3 linked regions of the Oreochromis niloticus genome follow. The protein of the gene in region 2 purifies or fractionates together with the protein of the main gene of each other region. This does not show direct contact. Links are inferred from orthologs where the notes say so. Each region holds a gene or a part of one and is shown on either strand. Other genes may lie near its edges.

Evidence for each region. The genes of interacting proteins can lie anywhere in the genome.
Region 1: the proteins of ppme1 (region 2) and serine/threonine-protein phosphatase 4 catalytic subunit B purify together in Homo sapiens (affinity purification with mass spectrometry; 3 studies listed by BioGRID and IntAct, with this or other methods). This does not show direct contact. The link is inferred for Oreochromis niloticus from reciprocal best matches to the Homo sapiens genes PPME1 and PPP4C.
Region 3: the proteins of ppme1 (region 2) and ppp2r2aa purify together in Homo sapiens (affinity purification with mass spectrometry; 3 studies listed by BioGRID and IntAct, with this or other methods). This does not show direct contact. The link is inferred for Oreochromis niloticus from reciprocal best matches to the Homo sapiens genes PPME1 and PPP2R2A.

The regions. Positions count from the first base shown.
Region 1 is NC_031969.2:3,488,145-3,496,225, forward strand, and holds the start of serine/threonine-protein phosphatase 4 catalytic subunit B, read left to right. Parts: upstream 1-5,044; 5' UTR 5,045-5,171; exon of another isoform or gene 5,172-5,206; intron 5,207-5,287; exon of another isoform or gene 5,288-5,337; intron 5,338-5,852; 5' UTR 5,853-6,023; coding exon 6,024-6,133; intron 6,134-7,548; coding exon 7,549-7,600; intron 7,601-7,688; coding exon 7,689-7,739; intron 7,740-8,081. Other genes in the region: battenin, read left to right, coding at 21-73, 150-218, 344-399, 495-588, 1,357-1,497, 1,789-1,905. UniProt on the Homo sapiens protein: Protein phosphatase that is involved in many processes such as microtubule organization at centrosomes, maturation of spliceosomal snRNPs, apoptosis, DNA repair, tumor necrosis factor (TNF)-alpha signaling, activation of c-Jun N-terminal kinase MAPK8, regulation of histone acetylation, DNA damage checkpoint signaling, NF-kappa-B activation and cell migration.
Region 2 is NC_031975.2:10,563,305-10,571,319, reverse strand, and holds the start of ppme1 (protein phosphatase methylesterase 1), read left to right. Parts: upstream 1-4,852; 5' UTR 4,853-5,038; coding exon 5,039-5,124; intron 5,125-6,441; coding exon 6,442-6,535; intron 6,536-6,739; coding exon 6,740-6,832; intron 6,833-7,004; coding exon 7,005-7,062; intron 7,063-7,175; coding exon 7,176-7,227; intron 7,228-7,548; coding exon 7,549-7,703; intron 7,704-8,015. UniProt on the Homo sapiens protein: Demethylates proteins that have been reversibly carboxymethylated. Demethylates PPP2CB (in vitro) and PPP2CA. Binding to PPP2CA displaces the manganese ion and inactivates the enzyme.
Region 3 is NC_031977.2:12,397,078-12,405,494, reverse strand, and holds the start of ppp2r2aa (serine/threonine-protein phosphatase 2A 55 kDa regulatory subunit B alpha isoform), read left to right. Parts: upstream 1-5,380; coding exon 5,381-5,471; intron 5,472-6,697; coding exon 6,698-6,795; intron 6,796-6,997; coding exon 6,998-7,163; intron 7,164-7,298; coding exon 7,299-7,411; intron 7,412-8,143; coding exon 8,144-8,321; intron 8,322-8,417. Other genes in the region: uncharacterized protein LOC102080115, read right to left, coding at 398-592, 2,522-2,564. UniProt on the Homo sapiens protein: Substrate-recognition subunit of protein phosphatase 2A (PP2A) that plays a key role in cell cycle by controlling mitosis entry and exit. Involved in chromosome clustering during late mitosis by mediating dephosphorylation of MKI67.

The DNA of each region.
Region 1 (8,081 bases), on a different chromosome or scaffold from region 2:
CTTCCTCTTGAATGTAACAGAAGACCAACCCACCGGGCCTCTCAGTTTCAGAGAGAGACTGAGTGTCATCAGAGTAAGTACACTGTTTACTTGTTTGATCTCAAACTGTATTCAGTCAAACAGCTACTGAACCTGATTTCTGTGAGCAGGGCTTGTGGAGGTTTGTGCTTCCACTGGGAGTGGTCTACTTAACCGAGTATTTCATCAACCAGGGTTTGGTGAGTCCTCTGGTGCCCTCTAGCAGCACACTCAACTCACTGCACGCTATTAAGTGAAACTTGGCTCTGATTTTGTGTGACGATGTGAGAATATTGAACCAAGAATATTTTTTCCCCTCTGTAAGATGGAACTCCTGTTCTTCCACAATATTTTCCTGACCCATGCAGCTCAGTATCGCTGGTCAGTGATCCATTACAGAGAATATTCAGTATGAATGACTTCATGCAGATTGTTTGGGGTGTGCAGCTCTACTTGTTTCTTGTTTGCATCCTCAGGTATCAGACTCTGTACCAGCTTGGTGTACTGCTCTCTCGATCCTCTCTGCGCTGGCTGAAGATCAGGAAAGTGTGGATTCTCAGTGTTCTGCAGGTGAGAAATGAGAATAAAATACAAATCAGCACCAGAGGGATGTCTGGGTTAAGCTCAGCTCCCTTTTTTGGACAAGGTAGAGGAGCTTAACCTGCAACTTTCTTCTGACTGGCTGCTCATTACACACAATAGATTTGAACATCGGTATTTGTGGCTGCTGTGCTCAAAGTGTGTACACAAATCTGTGTGTATGTAGTGCATATAGAATGTTGTGTACAAATCCATAATCAGTCATGAGGGAGTAGACGAAGCTGCATTAGTGCAGTGGTAGGAGCAGCCAATAACAAAACGGTGTAGCAGCTGTCCTCAAAAAAATCAACAGCACACACAATGATCCTCATCTAGTAATATTTACAAGGAAACGTTCGTACTATTTACACAGTGACCCAGCCCCATTTCCAGGTGAAACAGAGAAAGTGCTGATGATGTTGTATAAGAGAGAAGCCTGCACCTCTAAAGGAAGAAATAAGGAGAAAATCTGACTGTAGAAAAAGAAAGAAGCCAGGAGAGGTGCGGCTTTGCAGAGTGTTTCAACAACTGTTTAGGAAAAAGTGACACCCAGGCTGAAATAATAGGAGAGCTCAATAAATGATTTTTTTTTCCATTACATCATCAAACATTACATAGTTTATGGTTTGTTTTCAGGTGATTGAATAATTTTTGTTGCTTTGTGATGCAGATAACTACAGCACATGCATATGGGGTTGTTAAATGTATACTTTACAAACACTGCTGTTTCTCAGAGCTGCTTCTCTCTCCTCTCCTCAGATGCTGAACGCTGTGTTTCTTCTGTTAGCTGTACGTTACCTGTTCCTGCCCACTGTTTGGTTGGTGTTCACTTTTATCCTCTATGAGGGTCTGCTGGGTGGAGCAGCATATGTCAACACCTTCCATTTCATCAGCAAGGAGGTAAAGGACAGCTTCAGAGGCCCATTCATATAGTTTAGAATCTAGAGTATTCTAGACAGTCTCGATTTTTAGGAACCTGGACAATTGCATATTTTCTGTTCTTCGACCTCTGTGCACAGCTGCATTTCATTTTCAATCTATTCACGGATGCATACACACTCGGCAAATGTCAGCTTGATTATTTTAGGAGATTCAGGAGGTCATTACAGAAGCAGCTGTGCACTGTTGAGCTGTTTTCATCCTACAGTAAGTATGCATCCATCTCAGAGTGTCTTCTCTTTTCTCCTACAGACTGAAGACAGACACAGGGAGTTCTCCATGGCTGCTGCCAGCGTTGGAGACAGCCTGGGCATAACTGTGGCTGGACTCATATCTCTTCCTGTCCACACTTACTTCTGTTCATTATAACCAAGCCCACACACTGACCAGCACGATGAGTAAGCAAAACGTGGGTGCGTTCGATTTTTAAATCGGAACTGGGTTGGAGACAAAAAGCAGACATTACATAAAAATGTCAATATGAAGTCATTGACTCCACATCCTGTACTTGCTGCATTTATAGATACCAGCAAGTGAACTTTATAGAAAGCCCAGAGTCCAAAAAAGGATTTTTTTTACCTTCAGCCAGAGATCAAATAATATCAATAACATCCTACCTACGATCACAGAAGGTAAACCTGAAACACAGATCAACAAAACCGATAGGACAGAAAATATTCATGTGTTGTTTTGATGACCAGTTTCTTTGTGGCTTTCCTTCATGAAAAACCTTCCAGTGGTTCACAGAACAAAAGCTTTCAATGTGAAACAAGATCGGGATATATTTCAATTTGACATAATGAATAAAAGAAATATAAATGCAACACATTTTAAAGTCACAGAACAGGAGATGTAATCAGAGTAATTTTACTTTGTTTTAATTGTTGTAACTAAAGAGTCATCTTAAAGTATTAAGTATCTCTGAGCTGCGACCAGGCAGCCAGTATTGTGTAGGAAATCACTGCACACCAACCTTCAACACTAACATTTACCTTAAAATCTAAACTGTTATTTTACTGACCTTCATTTTAAAATTAATTCCTCAAACTGAGCTCTGGGCTCAGAAACAGTGCTATGAATGACTACTCAGCTAGGATGTGCCATTACTATTTTCAAACTATTTTAAAAGTCAGGGAGCTCAGTCACTGAATGCTGCAATTATATTTTTGGGAGGTGAAATTATAAAACTATTGATTTCAGGGGGCAAGGATAGCTCAGTAGGTAGAGTTGTCGCCCCATGATCGCAAGGTCGGGGGTTTGAATCCACTGACCAGCTACCCTGAGCAAGGTACTGCTCTCCGGGCACTAGATTGGTGGCTGCCCACTGCTTCACTGAGTGAATGGGTTACATGAGAGGAATTTCCCCACGGTGATCAATAAGGTATACATTATTATTATTATTATTTGAAGAACCTGTGAGTAAATATAATGCTGAAGCCTGAGGGCTCTCAGTAAGTGTCTTCTATAATTATTAGTTCTATAGTTAAGTTTCATTCATGTTAATACATAAATAGCAGAGATTACTTTCCTATTTCAGTTGTAGTCAAACGTTTGCAAACACTCATCATGGAAATGAATCTGAAATTTGGGATTTTCATTATTTTTTTGACATAGGTGACTTCAATCTTACTGAAAAATTGTGGACTATGCTTAAAATCCAGGTTGGTACCAGGAAACCAAGAGAAGAATAATGGTCAAATATAACGTCAGAATTATGCCTGATTGAGGTGCAAATTTTTCCAAAATAAATTCAACCATGTGCACCCAATTCTCATTTTTAAAGTCTTTTTTTGCAGATGCATGCTGTAAAATCATTCCTCTCTGGGAAGAGAACAATTCAAAGAAATGATTAAAAGTCCAAAATTACCATCACATTCATGTCCATAATGAGTATATGTAACAAAATGAGCAAAAATGCCTTCTTTTATAGGTTTTAATACCAGGAGAGCATTCAGAGCTTTAAAATGCCACTTGTTTCAGATTTGTACAAAAACAATGTCACACACAGATTTGTTTTTGTGATGTTTATCATGTGCAGCTTGACATCATTTTGCTTAGCTGTGACTTTTTTGATTCTAACGAAAGACTGCTTGTTAAACTGTGGCACAGTTCGTCACTGCAGGTGGAGCACAGAACACCTGGGAATGGCTGAGATGTGAAACAAAGTTGATTTTAATATTTTTGTTGTAAAATAAAGAAAATAGAGGTTGCTCATGCCGTCATGCTGACATGTATTTTGCTAAAATTCTTGGAAGCACTTTTGTTATTTTTCTTGTAACATTGTGGACTGTTGAATTTGTTTTCTTTTCTTGGAATGCAATTTATGTCCTTAAATACTTGATTCATGTGTCCTGTTTTCTTCTGAACACTCAAACGCAGACCGACAGGCACAGTCCTACTGACATTCTAATGACCACATAAAGCTAATGCTAAAGCTTAACTGGAAGAACCTTGTTACAACGTAATATTGTTTTTTAATCTTCAGCTTGCTTCAAATCAAATTTTACAGGAAATCAGAAATGAGGTTCACTGACTTTGCTAGACTGCCAGTTAGCTATAAACATGTGGTTGTCCTTTCTTGCACAGAGAGCAATGACATTTCTAATTGTACTTATTTTTTCTTTGATATAAAGTGTATGTGTAAGAAACTGGAATGTGTTGTGCTTTATTACTTCTAGTGATATAAGATAACATAGGTTGGTGTTTAACTGGGGTGGTTCCTAAACCATTTATTGACCTAATATTTCATTCAAAATCATTTGGGGGAAAAAGTAAGGTTGCTATAGTCAGCAATCTGCAGTATTTTCTCTGCTGTCCACTTTTTGTGCCTAATATATCAGATAAATGGTTGTAGAGTGGAGAATTTATACGGCAGTATCCCAAAGCTATAGGTGACGTTTCTAAGCCAAAATGAATTAAAATGTATAATGTAGGTTACTGTTGCATAACACACGTTTCATGTTAAACTTCTACTTGAACTACATTACATTTCATAGTGGAGCACAGACCATCACACAAAAACTTTAATTCTTTATAATTAAATTAAAAGGGTATATGATACCTTCATTACAAGTCAAATATTTCAGTATTTCAATATTTGTTTGCTTTCAATGATAATGGTTTATAGGTGAGGGTAATCAGAAATCCTGTATTAAAATATTAGAATATTTCTTTTCCAGGGGATCGGACAGCCAAGGCCTGCTTTTGGCCTGCTTTTGACCTCTGCTCAGTCCACACTGCACCAGACCCACATGAACCTGCTTGCTTATTGTGGGGCCATAGGATGGCTCGAAATTAAATACTGTATTTCTGACTTTATATCGTGTCCTTAAACTTGACCAAAATTCTAAGAAAGGGTTTTGAAATACTTTACATACAATGAATTTAGAGTTTATTTTAAAAAATAATCACTTAAAAACAGAAAACAAAAGTAAACTTTTTCATGATATTCTGTATTTGGGATGGACTAGTAAGCGATCTGTAAATTACCACTACAGTGAATGTCGGCTTGAGTAGACTGGGTAGTGCGCTTCCTATACCGGAAGTTACAGCCGACCTGCAAGTGTTCATGAGCACGGCAGGCGTAAACCGGCAAAGACGAGACCGGGGGAAGAAGAGGGGCCAGTGAACAGCGAGTGAGCCGACTATCTATGGACTGAAACATATTAACGTTGGTTCTTTAACATTTCGTTTGCTTGCTGTTTTTGGTTATTCGAGTTGAGTCGTTTTTAAATTGTGTTGTTCGCATTAGCTAGCTTACTGGCGACATTAGCAGTAACCAGCGTTGACGCCGAAAACCAAGTAAGTTAGCCCAGGTCGGCATCGATTAGCCCGCTAACATGCAACATTTCAACTACGCTTAACTCATTGTTTTTTTCCAGCACATAGATTATGTGTAGTTTGTTGGTATCGACTGTCAGACATTTTTGTGAAGCATCTGTTCAATTTCCCAAACAAAATGGTTGGCTAAGTTATCAAAGAATCAGTTGTTCGCTGACGTCGTTAGCTGTGATGTAAGCTAGCGTGCTAATATTAGCTTACTGCTACGCCCCGAGGCCTTACATTCCCTAACGAATAACATCAGTTTTCTGTGGAAGACTACTTTTATGTTAGATGTGTACAAACTAGTGTTATGACACACTCATAGTGGTGTGTTAAATTGGCGTTTAGTTAGGAATTTCTATGTACGATCGGGTCTTATTTATCACACAGCAGACGTTAACTAAACTGGATTATCCGCCTACCAGGTTGTTATTGCGATGTTTAGCTCGGAATTACTTCGGTTGAATAACCTCATTTATGTTTTCTGTCTGCAGTTCGTCACTCCGAGCATCGTCGTAGCAATACCCTGACGTTTAAGAGCTGAAGCCCCCCGGCTGCTTTCGAGGAAGTTATTGTTTTGGCTGTTCGCTCTCGGAGCCACATATTTAAGCGAGCCCAGTGTGTGAGAAGAGGAGTGTGTGCCTGGTGTGTGAGCAGCTCTCCCTATGTGTGTGACAATGGGGGACATCAGTGATCTGGACCGACAGATAGAGCAGCTCAGACGCTGTGAGCTCATCAAGGAAAATGAAGTCAAAGCACTGTGTGCCAAAGCTAGGTAAGAATCGGTGTGCTTGGACCAACAGTACTTTTATTTCATCAATTATACACTCTTGATTCAAGGCAGAAAACTGTTTAGCTGTTGTCTTATATTTGCATACTTAAAGAACGGGAAGGAAAATCTTCAGGATTGCGAATTAAAACATACTTTCAGAGGGGTGAAATTTAGTGGAGCCTAAATATATTTATATGTAATGTTCAAAAGTAATGGGGCAGCCTCTTTGTCTTGACTATATGTAGACCAATGGCTACTTCGGCAAAGGGGTCACTACATGGGCAAGCACCGCATGTTTGATTTGGCAGAGTTTTACAGATGCCAAAAATTGATTAACTAGACTAGCAAGACCTGCATCAGACTCTGAACAGTTACAGCTAAGAATTTTAAAGAAAATATATTTATCTACTAACAATATATAACAGGAATAGTTTACGAGTTGTTAAAACCTAAATCCTCTGGTGACTGTTAAATGTCTGTGCACTGTGCATATGAACATGCTACTGGGTATGTTGGGTAGGCCTTGATCATGCGGTTTCTATACACAAATGCACAGTAAACAACACAATATTTTTTATTTAAAGTTAATATTTTAATCAATCACCATATAAATGTTACGAATCCCACTGTCAAGTGCTTGCTCATAGAGGCCCATTTGATTGTTTTCTCTGGGGATCTGACAGGATCTTTACTGTATCAAGCACTTTAAGGGCAGTGTTGTTGTTATTTGGTGCTATACAAATATAATAGAATTGAATTTTAGGACTCTAGGTAGTTTATAGGCTAAGTTTAATCAAGATTGAAGATCTTGGAGGAGTCCGGGAAAAAAATAGAAACACATATTTGGGCTACGATCATTATAGGATAAGGCAAGACCAATCACAGGCCCATTGTGAACTAGGAAGAACTGGGATAAGTCTACTGGATGCAAACTGCCATACGGGCTCATTAAATGGAGCCTTATCCTGACTGACCTTTGTTAGCCAATCAGCTGCTCCTGGATATTATTAAATAATCAAGTAACTCAGATAAGGATGATGGAGACACAATTTGATCAATCTGATCTTAATTTGAAAAGATTATTGTGGTTGGTGGAGGAGCTTAGTTGATGGGCCACGCCAGAAGCTGTCACTGGGCTTCAGAGGTGATGGCAAAAAATCGATCTGTTTAGGTTGGATATTTTTCAAGTTGCAGTCAAATTTTGTTTGTGATAATGTGACAGACCTGTTGGTCTGGGTTGTTACATCACCCATCAGCTGTGTTTCTGGAGTCACACTAGGAAACAGTCGATGTGGCCACTAGGGGGTGCTTGTCTGTAACTCAAGGATTGTTTTATTTTATGTTCTGCTGCTATTCTTGTGCTGTATTATTGTGCATTATTTGTTTCTTAATAAATACACATATTTTTATTCCTTTAGAGAGATTTTGGTTGAAGAAAGCAATGTCCAGAGAGTAGATTCTCCTGTTACGGTAAGTAACATCTACTCACTGTTGTCTCCGAATTTGCCTGAATGTCAGTTAAATGTGGTAATAATGTTTCTCCTGTTATTTCTTACAGGTTTGTGGAGATATACATGGTCAGTTCTATGACTTGAAAGAACTTTTTAGAGTAAGTTTTTTTTCTTTTTGTTTGTTTTTAAAATCTCTTTTGGTTGTCATTGGGTTATATTTCAATGTTTAAGTATGATACTGGACAGAGATGTTTTTCTGTTGCTGATTTGCAATCCTGCACAGCACTACTAAACCCAGTTGGTTATTAGAAATAAATGCAGCTTTTTAAATTTGATACTGTTGCCTTGAGTTTGAGTGTGTGACCATACCGAATACTGATTCCATAACTGTATTAAATGAATAATTCGTATTCCTAATTCTGAGGAAAATCTGGGTATCGTTCTTTATGTGTAAGGCAACGAGACGCTCAGCTTTCACACTGCGCTCCTAAATTCATCAA
Region 2 (8,015 bases):
TTTCTATTGGTTGGTAACTTGCAGCCAATCAGACTGGGAGGCCTGTCTGGATTCATGAGATGTTTGCCCAGGATATTTGTCTGGCTGGGTAATATTTCCACCGCATCATTTCTTACTGTTTGTGCCCAGGCAACAGAATTAGCTCTAGAAGTTTAGAAGCTTTAGGAATCCCCCATCTCTCCATCCCTGCAAGCAATAAAAAGTTATGAAATTATTCAAGTAAGGGGACCGCCATGCTTCGTAGCCAATCCATACCATGGGTCAGGGTGGGTGGGTCCAGAGAGCATCTGAATGCAATCATTTGGGTTGTTTTGTAACAGGCCCACAAGCTGCTTCCAACAGGAGGAGCAGCTGCCAAATGGAAAGTGTCAGGGGGAGGAGGTGCACTCTTTGTAGGTGGGGGTGTCGGCTCTCTGTGAGTGCATGCTTCCTTACATGTGACTTTCCATTGCATTCTGGGTCACAGGTCGCCAAGTTTTTCTCAAGTCAGAAATCACAGCCTCATATTCCGAATATCAAAGGATTCACCTGCTGCAGCATGTGTCAGGAAGTTGTTCTGTCCCCAAAACAACACTACTAAATTTTGTAACCGTAACAGTACTGTGCAAAAGTCTTGAGCCTCCCTTGTTTCTTTATTGTTTGCTTCCAAGGAGCCAGACAAGATAAGATAACTATTTAAGATAAGACCTGGTGCTACTGAGCCAGAGTTCTCCAGGGTGCTTTTTTTGCTTATATTCATTCCAGTCTTTTAACCATTTTTAGAAGAATGTTTTTTGTTCGTTAAGTCACTTAACACTGACCTGATAATGAATTAGAAAACACACCCAGCTAAAGCAATTAACACCTAAGACAACTTAGCAAAGAGCCTGTTTTGAATTGTATCATTAGGATCTTTGGTAAGCGTGTCACAAAAATATCTAATTTCTTCTCATTTATTTTGTTCAATCCACAAAATATGTCAAAGATAACACAGTTTGATATAAAATCGTGTTTTTGCACCTACAAGGTGATTTCCAAAGAGCTATTTGCAAAAAACTTGTCCCAGCATGGTGTGAAGGTTGTCCTTAAATACAGAAACCGGATTAGAAATAGTATGATTTTTTTTTTTTTATGAAAAAACAGGATGATGAACTCGACCCTTCATCATCCACCTGTTCTTCACTAAAACCTCATCAGAAATCGTTTCAGTGGAAGGATGGCTGACAAGAAATCATTCTCAAGGAAGCAAAACAGGTAGAAAAGGCTGAGGTAATCCAAATTACACAAGAACTGGACTGAAAATCTGAATCTGAATTTGGAATTGTTTGGTTCACATCATTGTCAGTATGTGTAGGGAGGAGATCAAGAGGGAAGTACAACAGTGAGTATCTACAGCCATTAGTAAAACTCGGTGGATGCTCTGTCATAGTTTGGGGCTTCATTGCAGCCAGGGGTGTTTGAAATCTTATCAAAATTGCTGCAATTATAAATGCAGAAAAGCCCGGCTGTGTTGAAAAATAAAAGCAGTCATACCAAATACTGACTTTCAACCTTATCAGAATTGTATAAATTCAGTTTTTGACTTATACACTATATTTCCATAGCTCAAGACTTTTGCACATTATTGTGAACATCCTCTTTCCCATAAACTGCTGCTTTATAGCAATATTGCCCTGTACACATAAAACAGTGTCATAATTCATCTTCAGTGTGACGACTTACTCAGAAACTCTGAAGTAGTTTTGGTAAACAGGGTCAAAGTAAAGCCCTACACCTGCATATTTTCCACTCCTCATATTTACAGCTATAAAGGTTCTATATTAAACAAGGCATTCGGTGGAGATTAGTAAAGTGAGAACATATTTACGTTTAGCAAACATATTCAGACTGGGTCCTGTGATGTCAAACGACATTACAGGACATTTGAAAGGTAATAATCCATTTATACTGTACTCCACGAAAAGGTTAAGGAGATGGTGGAGGTGGTTTCACCACCTGCTCTCTAAAAACAGTTTCCTGGGAACACTCTGTGAGAAACATTTAAGCACACAGTCGGGCCAGTAAACAAGTCAGTGGGCTGGCTTCAACCAGTCTGCAGTGACCTCCCCTTAAAAAGACACTGAGCCCCCAGACCCGATCACCCCTGTGCTCTGAATACTGTGAACTTTAAATCAGTGCTGAGAAACACTATAAATAATCCTCCACAACACTATAAATAAGGTCAGCCGCTGCGTCACTTAAAGGTTAGTAGGGCACAGGTTCATGGCTCAGCATGTTTGCTTCATTCACAAAATCAACTCAGACTTGGATTGTCCTGGTTCTGCTTCACTGGATGATTAAATGGGAAAAGAATAAAGGGACACTAAAACAGCTTATTTTTAATATCTGTAGTTACCTCAAGTTTATATGTTTTTCCAACTTCATCAACAGCTTTTATCATTTATGCTGACTTACAGTTTTTCACCGTACACAAAACAGATATTCCACTAAGACAGCAAAAGGCTCCACATAGCAGAGATGACTCAGGGGTTTGCAGACTGTTTGGATTTAGCTTTGGCTTGCATTTTTATTCAAACGTAGTGCTTATTTTGGCTCTCACTGGCTATATGATATCTTCTAATATTAGGTTAGATCAGTGAGCAAAGATCAGATCACACATGTTGTTAAGGAGTTGATGGGTTACAAAACAAACACAGAGATTATAATGTAATATAAGCACTGTTGAGAAGATACGGAAGGAAAAGTGTTCATGTAAAGCACATGATGAAAAATGCTTGAATAGTCTGGAAAATGGCCTAATATTGTATTCCAGAGAGCTTTTTTGAACAATATCACAAATTCAACTTAGTATTTAAAAAGATAACTGGAAAGGTTCTTTATGCAGATACTCCTCAGTGTTGAGACCTTTGCCCTACTTAAAACGTGCGTCAGTGCTGACTGATTAGGATGATAATCAGCTGAGTCCTCCTAAAATTACATGCGACTCATTATGTTTGCTCACCAGCACCTGTTCCCGTCCTCTCGTTCTAATTAACAAGTCTACAACTGTGGAGAACCGGCTGTCATAACATGTTCTTTTTACATAACTGCAATTCATTCGCTCTGATGTCTCTCACTATGTCGCTTGACTTCAGTGTCTGGAAAGTTTCACACTTTAACAACTTAAATTTCCTGTTAACAGTTTTTGTTACTGGAATGTGTGTGTTTACTTTTGCACCTTATATGTGTCAGGCTTTAAAAATTACATGTCAAGTAATGTAACTTGATGCCTTCTCTCACTGGAAACACCCACACCTTTAAAACTGCCTGCGCCCACTGTCATACAGACAGAGCTTTGGAAGACATTGAACTTCTGTTCACAGGCTGAGTAGCACTAAAATTACTATGAGGAAGCGGGACATAGTGGGTCACATTCTTGGACGGGCACTGCTGCCAGTCTGTGTTTGAGAATTGTATAGTAAGCTAAAAAAACATATATACTACTGACCTAAAACACACGCATATATATAAATACAGGAGTGTTGTTGTTTTGGGGGGTTTTTTTCTGAATTCTCGCTTTTTGTTTTACTTACTCTGCCTTCACGCATCTACATTTGGGTCCAGCTCACAACAAGCGCATTGAGGCAACTGTTGTTGCGATTTAGTGCTATATAGATCAAACTGAATTGACCTGAACATTCGACCTACGTAAAGCAGCAGACTGTGACACAACAGAGTTTTTCAAGTGCTGCTTTTAAATACAGAGCTGTATACAAAGTTGTGTTTCGGTGTTTGTGATTTGAGAACATGCTGAAGGTTTGGCTCTTGGAAGACAGAATAGAGGATCATGTATACCATACTTATAGCTGTTGGTTCATTTATGTTCACAGTTCATTTTCCTTTAATGTAACTATAGCAAAGCTGTGAAAAGATTTGATGCTGTCTATGTCTGTGACACCATAGGTGTCTTCATGACTAAAGTTAACCTCTGGTTAGTGTAACAATACAGGCCCAGTGATGTTTATGAAGAGTGAATCATTGCTTGCTACAAAAAATTAATGCAAGTCAATGTTATTTGTAACCAGTTAGAGAATCAGCAGCTGTAACTTTGTTGTTGAATTTGAGAAGGCAGTTAATTACATTACTCCTTTACATTACTGCTCACTAAGTAACTAAAGTGGAATAACAGTTCTACACTGTTTATTTATTATTTAAAATCACATAAAAATAGTCTAAGAGTATTAAGTTAGGGTAGCATAAAACAGCATGTTTAAGTTCTGTTAACATAATCCCATTGTTAATGAAAAACAGCTTTAGTATTACAAAAAATAAATAAATAAATAAGATTACTTGAATTTAGTTGACCAAAAATTTAGCTGACCAAAAATATGGGTGGAATTAAAATATCTATGTTTTTTTTACCCATTACTCCATTTTCTTCCATTTATCCAGTTTGGGATCACAACGGGGGAAGGCTTTTCGTGCTGTCACGGGGCAAGAGGGGGAGATACAACCTGCACAAGTCTGTCACAGGGCAGACAACTACTCAAACCTACAGCTAGTTTAAAATCACTTCTTCTCAAACATGCATAACTTTAGGTTGAGGTACGTTGAGGCCAGGTAATGCAGTCTGCAAAGAGGGCAGATGGACTTAAACCCACATCCTTTTTGCTATAAACTGACAGCGCTAGCCATCACGCTAGTATACTTAACTGGGTTTACACTTGATGTTCATAATAATCAGTCTCAGTCTTTATTGGAAGCAGTCTGACTTTCATTCACGGTACTCCGAACTGCTGAAAGCTATGAAGTGTAAGCCGCTTTTGAATTGCAGTTGAATTTGTAGCCAGTAGATGGCGACGATGCTGTGAAATAATCTGCGTCAATCATCTGAGAAAAAGAGACCGTCATTTCAGCTGCAGAAGAAGAAGGACGCTAGCCGTTAGCTTGCCAGGCAAACGCAGTTTAACCAATGTCTGGCTAACATCGGTGTAGGTGTCGAAGATAATCATATGCTGCGAAAGCGAGAGAAGGTCACATCAAAGAGTTCCTGACAAAGACCGGCGTCACTTTTGACAACATGGAGAAACAGTTGCATTTGAACCTGTTAGCCTCCAGACCTCCCATGGCAGGTGGTTTTCAGTCTGGCTCCAAAATGAAAATGGGGTGAGTTAGCTAGGATCTTAGCAGCTTTTTTTATCGTGACGTTTAGTTGTGTGCACCATCACGCCGGTTGTGTTTTTTTTATTCCCAAAGCCAGGAAGTGTAATCGTATATTTACACTGTCACTGAATTGCACTGCTTAACTGATTGCTTTAGCCCGGCTAGGTTAGCTGCATCTGCTACTAGAGATGAGATAATCAGTGTTGTACACCACTGATTGATTTAGCCTGGCGCTTTTGCGTGTTAGCATTTAAAATTAAAAGGATATCCTTTAAGTCTGAAAAACAGTGTCAGTAGAAAATTAATGTGATTTGTGAGGGCGGAAGCATTCGTGACAAGGCATGAAATCTGTGTCTGAAGTTATTTTAGTTCTCCAAGAGGTTATTGTCAACATTTAAAGATGCTGGGTTTGTGCCACCTCTTGTTTCCATTTGCATAGCGTATCTAGTGAAGGCTAACATCATCATCATCAGTTGTTGTTATTGTTGTTCTTATTTTTCACACAAGTACTGCATGCCAGGACGTGTTTTAAATCAAAGCAAAGCACTCTCCGTGCTTTCTGGAGAAATAAGGCTAAGCCAGCAGAAGAGTGAAGTAAAACAAATAAAAACACAAGTGTTAAAGGGATCATTGTGATCCAATTGCTGCTTTCAGCAGGATAACGCCCCGTGTAAAAAATCGTCTCAAACTGGCTTTTTGAGCATGACAGTGAGTTCACTGTACCCAGATAGCCTCCACAGTCACCAGATCTCATTTCAATAGAGCACCTTTGGGATGGGGTGGAACAGGGAGATTCACATTATTGATGTGCAGCAGCTGTGATGCTATCATGTCATCTTGGAGCAAAATCTGAGGAATGTTTCAAGCACCTTGTTGAATCTATGCCTTGAACAATTAAGGAAGCTGTGAAGTAAAGCGGGGTCCAGCTCAGTACTGGCGAGGTGTATCTTATAAAATGGCTTGAATATAAATGAACTGTTAACTCTGTAATACTTTAATCAGCAACAAATTACAATGAATTCGTAAAATAAATGCTCTGACACACCTTTCCTTTACCTTTGCCAGATGAACATGATGATTATGCTTAAATTCTATTTTGTTTTTTGTTATTTTTTTTATTAATTTTTTTTTCTTTTTGTTTATTTTTCTATTTTTTATTATTGCAATGTTTGATGATGTGAAAAGAAGGGGAGAGTTATTTTTAGTCTGGAGTATTTTTGTCTTTCAATTGCTTCCACAAAGTTTAACAGTCCTGTTGCAGTGTTGAATCACATCAGATATGGATTCGGTTACTTATTTACTTTTGTTCTTTTATTACAGACCTGGGCGTAAGAGAGATTTCTCCCCTCTGCCCTGGAGTCAGTATTTTGAAACCATGGAAGACGTGGTGGTGGAAAATGAAAACGGCAAAGATATATCCTTGACTGCTGTTCCAGTTTGTAAGAGGAAATTGAGCATGAATGACACACACTTTGGGTCCAAGTCTTCAGATTTAACTCCTCATATCATTGTGCTACATGACTAGAATATATGCAGAAGATTAATGTGCATTATTGTTGGACAAGCATCTGCTTACTTCATTATTCTTTCAATTAGTATTTCTTTGACCGCTGTGAACATTTTCAGAATTTACTGCAGTGGTTCCCATGGTCCTGTGCTGCTCCTGCTTCACGGAGGAGGCCACTCTGCACTATCCTGGGCGGTGTTCACTGTGAGCTTCATAACTATTACAGACGCTTTATGATCTGTTAGCAGTCTACATTAAAGTTAACAGCAATGTTGTGAAGAACATTTATAAAGTTTTGTTTTTTGTTTTTTTTTTAATGTCAACATATCATCTGTGATCTATTTAATTGAAATGATTTCGATCTATGTTCTTGCAGGCCATCACATACAGCAGGATTAACTGCAGGGTGGTAGCTATGGACCTCCGAGCTCATGGTAGGTTGCAGGACACAGCAAGTTTTTATCTTTGCACGTGGTTTGAGGATTATTGCATTCTTTGCCTCGGTTTATATGGAACAAATGAGTTAAATCTCTGTCATCGCCTGCAGGTGACACTAAAGTGAAAAATCCTGAGGATCTCTCTGCGGACACGATGGCGAAGTAAGTCTTTAAGAGAACACAGTTTTTGTGGGAATGATTTTTAAACATCTGCTTCTTGGGTTTACATCACAGGAACATATGGGACGCCACAGAAGGTGGTGATGATCCAGCAGGCATGAGTTTAATTAAGAAAATTTTGGTTTCACCGCTCATTAAACGTGGGAAGAGTGTGGTGACTTCCTGTGGCTAACATTTGGATTATTGATTGCGGTGTAAAATGTAAAATGTAGTTACTAGCTTCCTGATTAGAGTTTCAATCATAACCGAAAAACAGGCTGACAGGTTATATTCTTGCTGCTTCTTTTTTTTTCTTCCCCAAAGGGATATTGGCAAAGTGGTGGAGGCACTTTATGGAGACAACCCACCTCCAATCATGCTTATTGGACACAGCATGGGAGGGGCCATTGCAGTTCACACTGCCACTGCCAATCATATACCATCCCTGCTTGGTCTCTGCGTCATTGATGTTGTAGAGGGTAAGCTCTGCAGATAAGTTCATATTTCCAAAGTCGTTAAACACGAATCCTGCAAGTTGCTCTGGTAACGCCTCAGGTCACTTATTTGGGCAGTTACTTTGAGGCCCTTACCTAAATGACTGAGGAGACTGAAAATGGCTTAAATGATCACCAGGACATAAAAACTCTATTTATAGAATCGCCTGCCCAAAGGCACCAGAGGTTTGGGGACTTTGTCCAAAATCAGGTTTCCAAAGTTCTTTCCCCACAAGTTGTTCTTCTGTTTCAAACGGGCAAAGTCGCATGTTGGTACAGCTTCATTAACAGTCCAAA
Region 3 (8,417 bases), on a different chromosome or scaffold from region 2:
AAATTGGAACCAAACTTTATGACTCTACTGACTGATCAAGCTGTGGATCGTGGACAAGCTGTCAGGCCATCACACTGATAACACAGAGAGGCAGACAACCATTCACAGTGGCCAAAGGGAAATTGGCAGTTAACCTAACACGAATGTCTTTGGGACATTTGGGAGGAAGCTGGATTATGTGGCGAGAAGCCAAGCCCCCAGCTTGCAGATTTAAACCCAAGACCCCATTGCGTTGAGGTAACAGTGCAAACCACTGCACCACCATGTTGCATAGAAAATACTGCATATAACATTTTTTTTTACCTTGATTGAAGCCATAAAAAGTCACAACAAAAACTAACAAAATGAAGCCAAAATGAATTCATCAATTAATAAACAAACGAAAAACATGTCTTACCAAGTTTCTGTTCATCACAATGTTTTTCCGTTTTGTTTTTGTTCTCATTCATAGGTTTCCTGGTGATCACTGTGAGAATGCAGTTTGTATGATTTCCATAAGCCATTTGACAGTTTGCCTTTGTTTCAGTGTTGTTGAAGGGGACGTGAACCCAACCTCCTGTGCAGTTCTTTCTATCTGACATCAACTCACAACCTGAAGACAAATATTCAAATTATGTTGGTCATTTAACAAAACAAATAAGCAAATTAATTTATCAATTAGGTGCACAGTTCTTCATGCAACAGTCTTGAGATACTTTATTAGCAGAGCATGCTGTAAACATTGCTGTTTTTATTTTTACTATATAGGCATGATGCTGTGACCAGTTAGTATTTTTGTTATGATTCAAAGTGTCACTACTGCAAAAGCGAACTTCTGCTTCAATATATAATGTTACAATTAATTAATATACCATTAAATCATGTTTATTATTATTATTATTGTTGTTGTTGTTGTTGTTTTTCACAGTTGCTAACAAAATATGCAGTACATGTGAAAAAACTGCTTCCAGATTTCTAAGGTTTTGTTTTGTTTGTTTGTTTTTGCATGGATTGGTTTAGTCATGTTTTCATTTCTCCTTCCTCTTGTCTCACCAAGTCCACAGTTCATGGACTTAAACTACAGTGCTTACTTAAAAAGCTTTATTAGACCACCACCCATTGGTGGTGGTGGTTTTATAACACGGCTACCCTAAACTTACAGCATTGGTAATTACCAAAGTAATGTTTTATGCTTCTGGTTAATCTGTGAGCTCTGTAATCAAAATCATATTTTTAATGTTAAAATATAATTTTTCTTGTTATACGTGAGTTTATAAATTTTATGTTTTACTATAAAGCAACAACAAAAAAGTAAATCACATCCAAAATTAGCCAATAAAAACCAATTTCAGTAGTAATTGTCATGCTTGTGCCAGCTCAAATTTCAGTATAAAAACTTGAATTCAGTTTGTTAGCTAATAAATAACAACAAGTTTTTAACAGATTTCTAAAATGTTTGTGTTTTCTTGTTTTTAGTGGCAGGTGCCCTGCATACGGGCAGAAGTAAGTCCCACTGTTGTAGGTGTGTAAAATCAAGCACGTAGGCATGCAGACTACAAAGGTTTGTAAAAGAATGGGTCTCTGTATTCAAATAAGGCACTGTAATAGGATGCTACTGTAAATTTATGAAGTTTCATAGTTAATGAAACTTTTTCCTTCTTAGATATTCACAACAACTGTAAATGGTATGATTGCTCATACAGTTTTAAAGCAGAGTCACTGTTTGCTGAGCCACTAAGTCAATGAAAGTTTCCAACACTGTATTAACTCAATAAATGAGGAGTTCCAGACCTCTTCTAGCATTAACATCTGCACAAAAACTGTGCACTGAGAGCTTCATGGCATGGGTTTGGCAGAGCAGCTCCTGTGGGTGTAATATGAGGGTGGCCTAATATTTTTATCCATATAGCTTAGGTCTCATAAGCTGTCAGTCCTTATCTCTTCTGACTGGCATTATTAATCCCTGTGTCACTGTAAAAAATGAGTTTTTAGAGAGTGAGGGCCTTTTTAGACCTGTTTCACGGTCATTGATGTCATGGTGGAAAATACGACATGGCATTTGATTTAATCCTACCATAAACACATTAGTGAAACTTTAAAGTAATGTGAATAATCATGATCATCTGTCATAATGTAATGTTCTTTAAAACAGAAAGAAAAGTCATGGGTAACATTGTAGTAACATTCAATATTAGAAGAGTGAAAATGGCTCTTGGCTTTTAAAATCTGTGAGAATTCGGTAACAGCAAAGATGGGGCAGAGGTACAATTTTAAGAAAAAAAATAGACTTTTATTGATATACAGTGTCGTAAAAGCCTAAGCAGCAAACGGTGTGGAAATTAGCTGCGGCCAGAAGTCCTATATGATTGCATCTGTTGCATTTAGCTTAAATGCGACAATGTTAATATGTACAGTCCCTGTTGTGTAAATATATGAAGTACAAAATACATAGTGTAATACCTATTTTAATCATATTTAACATTATTTACAGTATAATGATTTGTGAATAATATCAATTAGGAGTTGGTCATAGTCTTTTTACCTGTCATCGTTGAGAAGATGAGTAGTAGCAGTGATGTCATCATGTTGGTTTAGTCGCTTCTTTAAGATCTTTAAGTGGAAATTATAAACCTGCAGTTAGTTTGCTTTTGTTAGCCTGTCCTGCCTATCTGTGGGTCTCTGGTGATTCTTGATTTTTTTTGTCCATCCCATCTTATGTTACTGAAAAATGAACTTGCCCCGCATTTCTGACCACAAATCCCCTCCCCATTTCTTTAAGGTTAGTTTCTTTATCATACTTACATCACCTTTTGCAGTAGAGAGGAAGCAAGCGGTTTATGTGAGTGTCAGAATGAAAATAACACTGAATAGGAAGTCAGAGTCTAACAGATATATTTATTTGATAATATAATAGAAAAATACTTATAAAGAGAAGAGTCTCTTTAATCTGCACAGTTCCTTAATTGCAAATTGAAACTGGACTGCTCAGCGCAAAAATGTTGAAATCCAAGAAAATGATCTGAATTCTTCTATGCTTTTTTGTACATTTGATGCATTTTGGATAGAGATGGTTATATATATTTAAAAAGTTTGCTTTGGCCCACTGACTGTTGAGTGGAGATTCTTCTCTGTTGGTCTGGGTGGTTGAGTGACAGTTGGTTTGGTTGGACAGTCATCTGACCGCTTTTTAACTGAAGAAATACGTTCCTAACATGGTTGCTGGGGAAGTATAAATCAGTATGCCTTATTATACTATACAGTGTATACAGAAAAATTTCCACACTGGCTTCTTTGATGTGCTTTGCTGCAGTGTCAGCTCCTGTGTTGTTTGAACATGAAAATTCTGGCAAAAGGGAGCGAGCAAACAAGCATATTAGCATTCAGTAGCATTTGTGTGATTGGTAGTTTGGTTTTATTTGATCTTATTTAATAGACATTTACCAGATATGACGGAGATTTAACAAATGTGACCAGGAAATCTGAAAAACATTTATATTCACATGCATCATGCACTATATCTGTGACACTTTAGATATCAGTAAGACTGAAGAATGATACTTTGGTACAATAGTATCAGACAATATTTGACACTGAGTGGGTATGTATTCTTACTGCATTTATTCCTTTTAGATTACTCAAATGTACTAAGGTGTCACTGTGGCTTAAGGTTCATGATTTCGACCATGAGCTAAAACCTAAATCTTTGCCTTAGATCTATATACATTCAAAATAGTGTTGAGAGAATCTCATACAGGTTGCAGCAGGCCTCTTTTTAGGAAGTATTCTTTGATGTGTCATTCAAAAAAAAGAAAAGAAAAAAAAAGAGCACAGGTATAACTGGTAATTTAGATGGCTGCCATCCATCTAGGTGAACTGGTTTGAATAAAAGGCAGTAAACACGCTGAATCACCTTCATTGCATAGCCAGTTGATAGAGCTGAGTCATTGTCAATGAAAATCTGTTTTAACTTTGTTTTTCTGGCTATGACAAGTCACTTTTTTCTGGTATAAACACTCTCAACTGTTCATGTGCCAAAGAGTTACCAGGAAACGAAGGGAGGCATTGATAACATCATACACCTGAGCTTTTCCTTCGCTAATAACTGTAAAACTAACTTCCTCACAGGGCCCTAGTAGGTGAGATTAATTTTACTTGGAAGAAACGTTTTTTCTAGTTACGCTTACATTGACGCATAAGGCTCTGAGGCTGAACTCTCAGAGACATCCTGCTGAACAAAGATGTCAGATGCATCTACTGCAATTATTACTCAGTTTATTTCCCATTCAGTTGTAGTTTAACTCAGTGGAATCAGTGGGTCATGCAATGACTACATTTAATAGGCAGTAAACAAGATAGTAACTCATAAAATCCACCCAATGTGAAATAACTTTTGTGGACATTAAAACAAATTAAAAACCCCTCTAAAATTTATTAAGAAATCTGAATTTCTGTTTTAAACTTGGAGCTTTCGGACTCCACTTTCTAAATTCAGCATGCGTCCGGGGTTAGTTCGATTTTCTTCACTGAAACAATGCACATGGGCGGGGTCTAGCAGTTATACGGGGTTTTATATTTTAAAAACCTGCTTATTACCCTTTTTATGAATTTAAAGCGCAGTAAATCAAGTGACCTCGCGGTCTCCGCAGACAGGAAGATGACCAACGTCTCTGAGGGGTAGGTTTAAAATTTCGCGGCGCACCCTCTCACCGCTCCCTGTTGACTGCTGAACGCCGCCCGCGTTTCGCCATTTTGAAAGTGCTGTAAAGAGGCAGAGGCGAGGGAACTCTCAAAGTAGAGTGCAAAGTCTACAAGCCAATAGTAGGCATTATTAATTACTTTGTGTAAAACAGTTCCGTGGTGCATAGCAGGGCCGAGGACTTTTGCTTACGTTCTTCAGAGTACCAAGCAGCACTCCCGGCTTCATTCCTGCACTGCTCCTCGCTAGAACCTCCCAGCCGACCCGGGTCAGCACTGTTCCAGTCCAGGGCCCGAGCCCGCTTAGATACCCCTCTACGAGTCGCTCACCATGGCAGGTAAAATCACAGGGGAAAAGACTACCACAGTGGCTGGGGTTATTAATTAACAGGTGCTGACCTGTTTGACAACGATGATGGGTTTCTCTGTTATGTCATGTTTAACCAGCGCAAGCTAGCTAGCGAGCTAGGATAATTCAAAGATGCCAGTGTAAGTCAGTGTTAGTGTTAAAGTGAGCGGTATTCTCCACAAACACACGTAAAGTAGTTATCTGTGCCTATGAGTTTATAGCAGCAGTTGCAACGCACAGTTACTGTGAATTTCCTTAAGGCCTCGTTGTCATATTGATGTTTTTAGCTAAGTTAGCTGCAGGCTAACGCGTGTAAAGTTGTCCCTCTTTAATGGTGGTGTGTCCAATCTTGGGGTCATGTTGTGTGCAGGGCCTGGTGGTGGGAGCAATGATGTGCAGTGGTGCTTCTCCCAAGTCAAAGGAGCAATAGATGACGACGTCGCTGAAGGTAAGTCCATGTGATAGTCACTGAACATTTGCTAGCCTGAGCTGCCAGGATCACCATCCTGTGCACGCTTGTTTTAGGCTTTTCTTCAAAGTGCTGCTGCCACACTTTATATTTGTGGTATTTCTAAATATGCAATGAAAAGTAATGCCTTCTTTTTTAGAGTAATAATGGGTATAAGGGATCAGTGGTGTGGTATTGTAGTCCATTTGGTTTCTCACAGACTGACAACAGTCTTCTATTTTTGGCATAATTGTGCTAAATGGCATTCACTATTTTCTCCGTTCACCCTGGGTATTAGAGGGGTATTACACAATGTTTACATGATTGGGAGAGAACTGCATGTTAGAATTGAAAAAGATTTTACCTCAGCCAGACAAGAATCTTTAATAGGCGTTTCATATTTGTTAACGAAGCAGCACTTACATTTGACTAATTACAGATCTGTTTGAGTGGCCAAGTTAAAAGAAAACCTTTATCAGCTAATTATTTCCGAACTAAAGGAAAACTCAAAGCACCAAAAGTGTGTTTACAGTACATGGTGGCCATATTTATGTATAAAGGGCTACCCATTTGTTTACAGTAAGCTTTGTCTGGGAACATGTATAAATGAGAGCCTCTCCTTGTGTCAATACATAGGAGTACATGGGCTCAAAACACAACACTCCAGTAACGCTTTTATTAGTTTCCTGTAAAAAAGGATTCGCCTTCAGTCTGTCTGCTATTGTTTTATGGGGTTGCATGGAGTCGGGTCGTATCAGGCGCACACTGTCGATGTTAACGACTGCACTATAGTAGTGCCAGTGTGTAAGTGGGGATTGATTGTTGTATTGTAGGACTTGGTGAGAATGGTTGTCTTTGAAAAGTGCTAAATCTGAAGCTGAGGATGGAAACTTTTTTTCTGTTCTTTTTTCCTTTGTGTCCTAAGATTGTTGAGTGTACGTTTAGTTTCACCAGATCACAGCTCCGTCGAGTGTGTGTGTATAAATATGTGTGCGTCATTGCTGTGTTGTGTTTTCACCATGGTTGACATGATTTTCACCCCTCACAGGTGGGCTGCTGAGGCATTTTGTAAACCACTTCCCATTGAAAGGCAGTGAATCATTTAGAGAGCAATTCGATTTACAATAATTAGATTGACAATAGCCTTCATCAGAAACTCTGACAAACAATGTATGGTTATTTATATTTGATGCTAGTCTCATTTTTGCAATTTTTATTATTGACAGCTGATATCATATCCACTGTTGAATTTAACCAATCTGGAGAGTTACTTGCAACTGGGGACAAGGGAGGTCGTGTTGTCATCTTTCAGCAGGAGCAAGAGGTATGTTTTAGTGACACATAGAAACAGTACATATTTTTAACATTTGATTCATAATACTCTGGAGCAGGTAGGTCATCAAACTCAGTTTATATAACACAAAGACGTACAGGTAAAAGTACAATGTTTCTTGTGATCTTGACCCGAGACATTGAATCTTGGTTTCATAACGCTTGAACTTTTGTTTGATCTGTTTTGTATTTAGAGTAAGAATAAGCTTCAGTGCCGCGGAGAGTACAATGTTTACAGCACCTTCCAGAGCCACGAGCCTGAGTTTGACTACCTGAAAAGTCTTGAGATTGAGGAGAAGATCAACAAGATTCGATGGTTGCCTCAGAAGAATGCAGCACATTTTCTTTTGTCAACAAATGGTTTGTAAATTACTTTCTTTTGAGTAAATTATTGTGCTGTAGTAAATGTGAACTTTTGTTACGCCATCTACTGCCTTATATGGGAGTAAATATAACTCAATGACTCTCATGGTCTTTGCTCTTTCTCATTGGCAGACAAAACCATAAAGCTGTGGAAAATTAGTGAGCGTGACAAAAGACCAGAGGGCTACAATTTGAAGGAAGAAGATGGGCGATACAGAGATCCCAACACTGTCACTACACTACGGGTGTGTAGAACTGGCTTTATTACAGTCCAGATCTTTTCTTTGGTTTGACATTGTTAGCCAAAACTGAGATGCTTTGCTTACTTTCCATTCATTTATGAGTAGATCAAGAAAATGAACAGCAAATTTAATATGTTGAGTCTGGTTAGTAATTTACATCTGAATTAGTTGGAATAAATGTTAATCGTTTCTTTCCCGTGTTTCCTTCCACTCATTACAAAACTGTTTGTTCTATTTTTGATTGAGACGTTGACTTATCTTATGAGCAAGTAAACAGATGGAACTAATAAAATTACCAATCTGTTCCTGCAATTACTGCAGTGCTGCAGTTGATGTAATGTCTGCTTTATTCACCTTTAATTTTGACAGACCCCCCCCCCCCCCCTTTTTTTTTCTTCTTGTGGTTGCTGAACAGTTTCCAAATATAGACTCTGTTCAACAGGTTTGCGTTTATACTGAGGCAATGCCTTTATTTCTTTGTTTAAAGGGCAAGTAACTGTCCCCATCTTAAAAATGGGTAAATCTATGTACATTTTGACCTACATCTTTGTGCCTCTTTACCAGGGTAAGAAAAATAATTTGGACACTTTTTAATCTTTTTTTTTTCTTTTTGTAGTGTGAAATTCCTTTTTTTTTTTAAAACATGCCTGTGTACATATATTTAAAATCAAGGTCAAAAAATCTACTGCATCTCCCATTAAAGAAATGTAAAAACAGCCCCACTTTTGCTTTCAGGTACCAGTATTCAGGCCCATGGACTTGATGGTGGAAGCCAGCCCTAGACGAGTGTTTGCCAACGCGCACACATACCACATCAACTCCATCTCGGTCAACAGCGATTGTGAGACCTACTTGTCTGCTGATGACCTGCGCGTTAACCTCTGGCATCTGGAGATCACTGATCGCAGCTTTAGTATCCTTTCATTCTTTAATTCCATAAAGTACTGCAATAATATAAAATTATTCTGTCAGTGTTTTGTCTTATTTATTCCCAGTTTATCCTTTTTCA